Linked DNA regions of Callithrix jacchus. The protein of the gene in region 1 interacts with the protein of each later gene in a pairwise test. Links are inferred from orthologs where the notes say so. Each region holds a gene or a part of one and is shown in the gene's direction. Other genes may lie near its edges. The genes, in order: CKM and ASB9.

Region 1 (4,299 bases):
GCTGGGCCCCATGTAAACGTTTCTAAAGCACCCTTCTCCCCTGCCCCACTCAGATCAGGCGTCTGTGGGAGAGGCAGAGAGGCTCCCTTTCTCTAAGCCAGTCCTCATGTGCCTGGGAAGGTATGAGGTGAGGACTGGAGACCCAGGAAACCCTGGCTGAGGGAGGAACCCAGAGGGAAGGGACATTCTTTTCTTCCTCGCAATCCTGGGAGCTCCCTGGAGGAGGAGACCCGATCAGCCTGCAATCTTGGCGCGCCTCAGAAGAAAGCGGCTTCCTCTATGCGGTACCCTCTTCCACAGAACCCCCTTCTCAGCCCTTGAAGTCCTTGGTCACAGCCGAGGCACGGAGAGCGCTTGCCATGCCAGATCCGCGCGAGTGCGAGTCTAGCGCCCGCGCTCTAAACCGCGTCGCTGCCCAGCCCCCTTCCCGGGGGGGCGGGGAGCTGCCACTCAGGGCCCCGTGGCTGCCCTTGTAAGGAGGCGAGGCCCGGGGACACCCGAGACGCCCGGTTATAATTAACCAGGACACGTGGCGATCCCCCCTCCAACACCTGCCCCCGAGCCACCCCAAACCCAGCGCCTTCGCAGAGGAGGAGACAGCAAAGCGCCCTCTAAAAATAACTCCTTTCCTGGCGGCTGAGACCCTCCCTGTCCCCCGCGCAGCAGAGATTTCCCAGTGGCACCGAGGGGGCAAGGGTTAAGCAGGGGGAGGGTGACCACCGTCTCCCACCCCAGCCCTGAGTTTGAATCTCCCCAACTCGGCCAGCCTCAGTTTACCCTCCGCTCAGTCCCTAGAAGGAAGGGGCGTCCAAGCGCAGGTTTCTGGGGTTAGATTGCCCTCTCCTGCAACTGGGCTTGCCTGGACCCTCCCTGTGGGTGGTGGCAGCAGGCGGCCACACAGCCTCTCCTGGCCTTTGCTTCCTCCTGCTCCCAGGGCACCTGGTCCTCCTGGAGCCACGGCATGGTTCCCCAAGGTGCCGCTGGGACTGGGCTAGGGGTGAGGGCCCAGGGGCACACACAGGAGGGGCTGGCGGCTGGAGGAGACTCAGGGGCCAGGGGAGGGTGGCTTCTACGTGCTTGGGATGTTCCCAGCCACTGTCCCGTGTTCCCGGCGGGGGGCCAGTTGTCCCCACCGCCAGCCCGACTCAGCACTTGGTCAGGGAATCAGTTTGGTGGGGGGGCTTGGGTCCAGCCCCTGGGGCAGCTTAGCCCATACAAGGCCACGGGGCTGGGCGCAAGGCATGCCTGGGTTCGGGGTGGGCATGGTGCCCAAGCAGGGAGGTGAGAGGCTCAGCTGCCCTCCAGGACTCCTCCCTGGGGACAGTCCCTCCCAGCCAATAGCACAGCCTAGGTCCCCCTATATAAGGCCATGGCTGCAGGCCCTTCCTTTGGGTTAGTGTCACCTCCAGGATACAGAGAGCCCCCTTCAGCCCAGCCCAGCCAGGTACTGCATGGGGACAGGAATCTGGGTGGGGGCCAGAGAGGGGGAGTCTCTGTGGGTGCCAGAGGCTGTCTCAGCTCGGGAAGGGGCCTGTGGGCCACCCCCTGCCCCACCAACACCCTCCTTTACAAAGGCAGGCTGGTGCGTGGGAAGGCTGACCTCTGTGTCTGGGAGTCCCCTCCATCTGTGAGGCCGCCTGAACCCCCCGCTGGGATTTGTCATTTCTTCAGCACAAGTCTTGGGTTATGGGGAGGGATCCCAGAGATGACAGGGGTCTTGACAGCTGCCAACTGTCACCCCCTGCAAGGGGCTATTGAGCCAGGCCCGTGTTGATTACAGTTTGTCACCAGCACTGGCGCCACCAGCCGTGGGAGGTGTGTCTGTGTGTCGCCCGGCAGAGTCTGCAACGGCAGGTGTTTCGGGTGTCTTTTCGATTGCTGCCGTGTGGGTCCCTGTGACCTTGCATCTGACTTGGTAGCTCACACAGGAGTGCCTCTATCTTGGGCATGTCTCTAAGCTTGGAAGTGTGACTGTGTGACTTGGTTTACAGTGTGATCTGGGGAGTGTACTGTGGTGGGGGTTCATGGCTCTGGGGCTTTCTGCTTGTGTCTCTTGGGGGGGTCACCAACCTTGCCTCAGTGCCCGCTCTTGGGGTGTCCCTGGCAGGGATTGGGGGAGCATCCTCTGAAGGGCAGGGGTCTGGGCTGCCAGCCTGGGATGTCCTTGAGCCCCAGGGCCTGGACTCATGTCCCCCCAGCCACCCTGGCCCACCTGTTTCAGGGCCTGCTGACTTGGTGCAAGCCGAGCCCCGGAATGTGGGGGTGGGGCCGGGCAGCAGCTGGGGGTGGGGCGGCAGGCTGCTGCCAGATCCTAAAAATAACCACCCTGGACAGCAGCGCCCAAGGTCTTTGGCGGGTCCCTGCTCCCCTTCCAGCCCTTAGCTCACCGTGGTCCCAACTGCCCTCCTCCAGTCCCACCTGCTTCCCATCCCCCTCTCCTACCCCTGCTGGAGGTCCTTTCTCCTTTCTGGGTCCAGTGAATAAAATAATAATAACAATAGGACTGGGCGCAGTGGCTCACACATATAATCCCAGCATTTTGGGAGGCCAAGACAGGAGGACCCCTTGAGGCCAGGAGTCCCGGACCAGCCTGGGCAATATAGTGAGACCCCACCACTACAAAAAAAAGTAATAATAACAATAATAGCAGCCACCAGGGTTCCAGGCTCCAACTCCATGTCAGGGCCTGTGCTCAGCCAATCCCATGGCCAAGCTCAGAGGATCCTGGAAATCCTATGGGGCAGGCTCAGTTCACAGGAGACAGAGCTCCAGAGAGGCCTAGTGACTGGCCTGGAGTCACACAGCAGGGAAATGGCATAGGTGGGATTTGAACCTGGCTCTGATGATCCAGAGGCTGAGCTTCTCTTCCCTGCTGAGCCCTGTGGGAGAACTGTCAGCAGACAGAGGTGTGGGCAGCCATGCGGCACCCCCCCAGACCCAGCCCTTTGTCTTTGGATTGGTAATCTGAGAACCTGCTCACATACTGACTCCCAGCAATACCCTCACCTCCACCTTTTCACCAGGTCCTCCCACAAACTAACAACAGGCCAGGTGTGGTGGCTCAAGCCTATAATCGCAGCACTTTGGGAGGCCAAAGTGGGCGGATCACTTATGGTCAGGAGTTCAAGACCAGCCTGGCCAACATGGCGAAACCCCATCTCTACTAAAAATACATACACACACACACACACACACACACACACACACACACCCTAGCTGGATATGGCACACGCCTGTAATGCCAGCTACTCGGGAGGCTGAAGCAGGAGAACTGCTTGAACCTGGGAGGTGGAGGTTGCAGTGAGCTGAGATCTCTCCACTGCACTCCAGCCTGGGCGACAGAGCGAGACTTAACATAATAACAACAATAGCTAAGTGAAATAATGCTTATTGTGTACCAGGCACTGTTCTGAGAGCTATATCTCCATTCACACATTTAATCCTTTCAACACTCCTGTGCACTGAGTGCTATTATGATCCTCATTTTCCAGATGAGTAAATTGAGGCACAGAGAGGTTAAGCAATTTGCCCCTGGCCACACAGCTAGTTGTGGTAGCAGAGCTGGGAATCCAACCCTGGGCCAGTTCCAGAACCTACACTTTACCCACACATGGTATTTTTCCAGACTCGGGGTGGGGCCTGTTTTCCACTTGGGGAAACTGAGTCTCCAGCAAGAATGACTAGTTCAGGCTCACCTGGCTGGGATGTGGCAGAGCCGGGCTCCTGACCTAAGACTCCAGATGCCTTCCTGCTGAGATGCAGGGGCTCAGAGAGAGACATTCCCCTGCTCCAGGTCACACAGCCTGGCTGACCTCAACGCCTCACTTGGTTCTCTTGCTGCCATCTGCAAGATGTGAGCCAGGCTGGGCGCAGTGGCTCACGCCTGTAATCCCAGCACTGTGGGAGGCCGAGGTGGGTGGATCACTTGAACCCAGAAGTTTGAGACCAACCTGACCAACCAGTAGAGATGGTGAAACCCCATCTCTACTAAAAATACAAAAAATTAGCCAGGCGTGGTGGCACACGCCTGTAGTCCCAGCTGCTCAGGAGGCTGAGGCAGGAGAATCCCTTGAACCAGGAAGCAGACTCTGCAGTGAGCCGAGATCTCACCACTGCACTCCAGCCTGGTGACAGAGCGAGACTCCGTCTCAAACTAAATAAATAAATAACAAGAATCACTTGAACCCAGGAGGTGGAGGTTGCAGTGAGCCGAGATCTCACCACTGCACTCCAGCCTGGTGACAGAGCGAGACTCCGTCTCAAACTAAATAAATAAATAACAAGAATCACTTGAACCCA
Region 2 (3,811 bases), on another chromosome or scaffold:
CCCTTTCCTCTGTCTCCCTCCATTTGGCCAGTCACATTATTAAGCCCTGCATAACTTGCAAAGTTGTTGGATTAGTGTTGAATAGGTTCCTATTTGGGACCTTCACCAGTTGTCTTTGATTTAGATATTGAACATGCCCCACTTTTAGCCCATTGCAAATACTATGTTTTCCTTGAAAAGGCCTATGTTCCCTTATTTCTTTTCACCTCCCTGCTGCTGTCCAGCCCCCTTCTCAATACCATTTCACCACCTCTCTAATTATCTGAGTCCTATTTACTCTTTAAGACTCTAGTAATCTCTTTTCCAGTGAATGTTGTTATAGTCCTTATTGCCTCCTACTCATTTGGCAGGCATTGCTATGAATTAAGAGATGCATTCTCTCTCCCACCTCCCACCACACCCTCCACCATTCTGGGTGGATTTTAAGCCTGTAGCCTGGAAAGGGCCATGTTTGACATTCCACACAGTTAAGAACAATACAAGACCAGATCAGTTAACATTTGTTGAATGGACATAGATTTTCATTTTACCAGACAGATGGCAGCTCAGGCAAAGCCACATGTTCGCACATATCACAGTGAGCGCCAGCATCTGGGCTGGGGTAGAGATTTGTTAAGAGTGTAGGAGTGGGCCAGGAGTAGTCGCTCACGCCTGTAATCCCAGCACTTTGGGAGGCTGAGGCAGGTGGATCACGAGGTCAAGAGATCGAGACCATCCTGGTCAACATGGTGAAACCCCGTCTCAACTAAAAATACAAAAAATTAGCTGGGCATGGTGGCGCGTGCCTGTAATCCCAGCTACTCAGGAGGCTGAGGCAGGAAAATTGCCTGAACCCAGGAGGCGGAGGTTGCGGTGAGCCGAGATCGCGCCATTGCACTCCAGCCTGGGTAATGAGCGAAACTCCGTCTCAAAAAAAAAAAAAAAAAAAAGAATGTAGGAGTGGAATTGGGTGGGGACAGTCCTAGAAATCTGCCTTACTCCTCAAGGGGAGAACTTTGCCACCTTCCCCGTGATCTCGGGATGGATTGGTCAGTCCAATGCAGGGGATAACCCCATGAGTTGGTTGCTTTACAAAGTCCAAATCACCCAAGCACCATGTTTTACACCCTGTGGCAGCTGCACACACCAGGTGAGTTTGGCTGCTTGTTGTATGCTGGATTTCACCATCTAGCGTCACCCCCAGGCTCTACTGGCTAATACTTAGGTTCCATTAATAATGACGTGCAGCTTTTCTGTCACTGGGATTTTTCTTAGATGTATCATGCCTATGTACAGTGCTGAAAGGCAGATTTTTAACTTCATATGCTATATAGCTCATGCTGTACATTCAATGACATTATTAGATGGGATTTTCTCCACATTATGAAATGGAATCAAAGCATCTCCCATTTTCCCAGAATTGCTGTGCTCAATATGGATCCCCTCTTGTTAGGGAATTTTGGGGCTTATTGCTTTGAAAGGAGGATGGTTGGATTCTGCTCCTTGCTGACTTTTTTTTTGTTCTTGTGACTATTTAGGTGCAGACGTGAACCAAGGCAAAGGTCATGATTCCCCACTTCATGCAGTGGCAGAGACGGTCAATGAAGAGCTAGCTTGCCTACTCATGGATTTTGGAGCAGACACCCAGGCCAAGAATGCTGAAGGCAAACGTCCTGTGGACCTGGTGCCTCCAGAGAGCCCTTTGTGCCAGGTCTTCCTGGAGAGAGAAGGTGCTTCATTGCCAAAATCTAAGCCCTAATTGTAGACACCCCTTCAGGCTTTAGTAAGAGGCAGGTATTTAGCAATTTCTGACTTCCAGTCCTGTAAAAAGACCATTCTCTGCCATCCCCAAATATGTGGAAGTTGAGATGATTCAATATTCAGTGAGGTGTACAGTACTGGTTACAGTACAGTAAATAACTATCCTGCTGTTTAGCATATTGGATATAGGTTTCTGAGATGATGTAATATTCATATATGGTGTAGGCCAGGTTTTTAAAAATTAAGGTATTATTTTAAAATTTTAGTATTACATGTATTTAAAAGATCCTTTAGAATGAGGTAGCAGAGGCCTCTTGGGGGTATGAGGCCCCAGGATATCTTACTGTACCACAGATGGGCCAGACTACTGGATACTTGGTTTCTGGGCTTAAAATGCAGCTCTTTGAGAATTTAGGGTTCACACCAATCCAAGGACATTTACTATGATAAGTTAACCAGCAATAAGTCCACACCTCTATAAGTAAGGAATGACACTCCCAACCCAAACAATGAAATACTGTGGTTGAGCAGTGTGTATGGGAGTAGGGCTTTGAGGCCTGGGTAGGGTTGGTGAACAAAGACAGCTCAAGTTGGGGAGTCACCCTGTTCCAATCTTCATGGGCTTGGAGGCAGGTGAGCAACCAGCTCAGTACTTCTTTTCTTACCAGAGTGTGGACTGTAAAGTCTTAGGGATTCTGGGACTTTGAAGCAGGCCTTCCTACCAAAAGGATTCTGATATCATACAGTCTAGTTCTTTTCTCCCCACATGGTAAGAAGTAGGGTTGGCTTTGGGCAGATCTGTAAAGTGTGCCTAGGAGTCCTCTTTCCTCCACCTCTCACTGCCCCAGGGTACTTGCAGTCAAGTCCCTGCCTTGGAGTATGGGACTATGCTCCTGCAGGCATTTGCAGGCCTATGCTCCTGAGCAGTGCTGGTCAGGCAAAAGACTGACTCCAGGTATAAGGAATAGTCCACTAGAGGCTCCTTTCAGTTAAGCAGTGGGATAATCACTGAGCACTTCTATCTGCATCTTAATAATCACTTGTTTTAACAAAGTTTTATGTCTACAAGGCCCATAATTATATCTTTTTTTTTTTTGAGACAGAGTCTTAATGTGTTTCCAGGCTGGAGTGCAATGGCATGATCTCAGCTCACGGTAATCTTTGCATCCCAGATTCAAGTGATTCTCCTGCCTCGGCTTCCCGAGTAGCTGGGACTTCAGGCACATGCCACCACACCCAGCTAATTTTTGTACTTTCAGTAGAGAGAGGGTTTCACCATGTTGGCCAGGCTGGTCTTGAACTCCTGACCTCGTGATCCACCTGCCTCGGCCTCCGAAAGTGCTGGATTACAGGTGTGAGCCACTGCACCGGGCCAATATATCTTAATTTTTAAAAAATTAGGACAAAAAATGAATAAAACAACATGGATTGGAATCGTCTTTATACCAACATAGTTGCGAAATAGAATTTTTCATTGTTTTAATTGAGAAAGGGATTCACAGAGGCAAAAGTCCCTCAGGTACCCCTCAGTCATAATGTAGGGTATATATTCATGTAGGATGTAGATGTCTCCTCCTCCATCAAGTAACTCCACAGGATTCTCAAATGTCCTTCCCTGGCTTTTCCCTTCTGCTTTGTTTCCCAAAGCCATTCCCAGAGACAGTAATTAATTTTTAATGCATGTTTTGCACGGTGACAATGGGGCCAATGATTCTACTAGTTTATGAGGTGTCATTTGCTGCTGGAGAGAATCACCAGTTGTTTTGCCTCCATGAGTCACTCTTGGGGTTTTGGTACAGTCACCTCTCAGAGGGTTTGGGCACCTACAAGACATGGGGCTAGGCAAGTACAGAAAACTAGACCTGTGGATTGCTCACAGCAGTTTCTGTCCCTGGGTGCCCCTGCAAATTCATTTGCTTCAGTCTACCTGTTTGTTTCCCGGGGAAGGGAATTCATTCAGTTACTGTCCTCTTTCAATGGTATAGCAACAGAATATTGGTAAAACCCAACCATGTTCTGAATTGGGCTTTGCATGGGTGTTAGGAAGGGTAAGATTTTCTCTTTTGCTGAG

The links.
Region 2: the proteins of CKM (region 1) and ASB9 interact in binary tests that used the Homo sapiens proteins (3 or more experiments, as listed by UniProt). The two-hybrid records come from large-scale screens. The link is inferred for Callithrix jacchus from reciprocal best matches to the Homo sapiens genes CKM and ASB9.

Annotation. Positions count from the first base shown.
Region 1 is NC_133523.1:39,501,863-39,506,161, reverse strand, and holds the start of CKM (creatine kinase M-type), read left to right. Parts: upstream 1-1,390; 5' UTR 1,391-1,444; intron 1,445-4,299. UniProt on the Homo sapiens protein: Reversibly catalyzes the transfer of phosphate between ATP and various phosphogens (e.g. creatine phosphate).
Region 2 is NC_133524.1:15,539,564-15,543,374, reverse strand, and holds part of ASB9 (ankyrin repeat and SOCS box protein 9), read left to right. Parts: intron 1-1,517; coding exon 1,518-1,709; intron 1,710-2,843; exon of another isoform or gene 2,844-3,811. UniProt on the Homo sapiens protein: Substrate-recognition component of a cullin-5-RING E3 ubiquitin-protein ligase complex (ECS complex, also named CRL5 complex), which mediates the ubiquitination and subsequent proteasomal degradation of target proteins.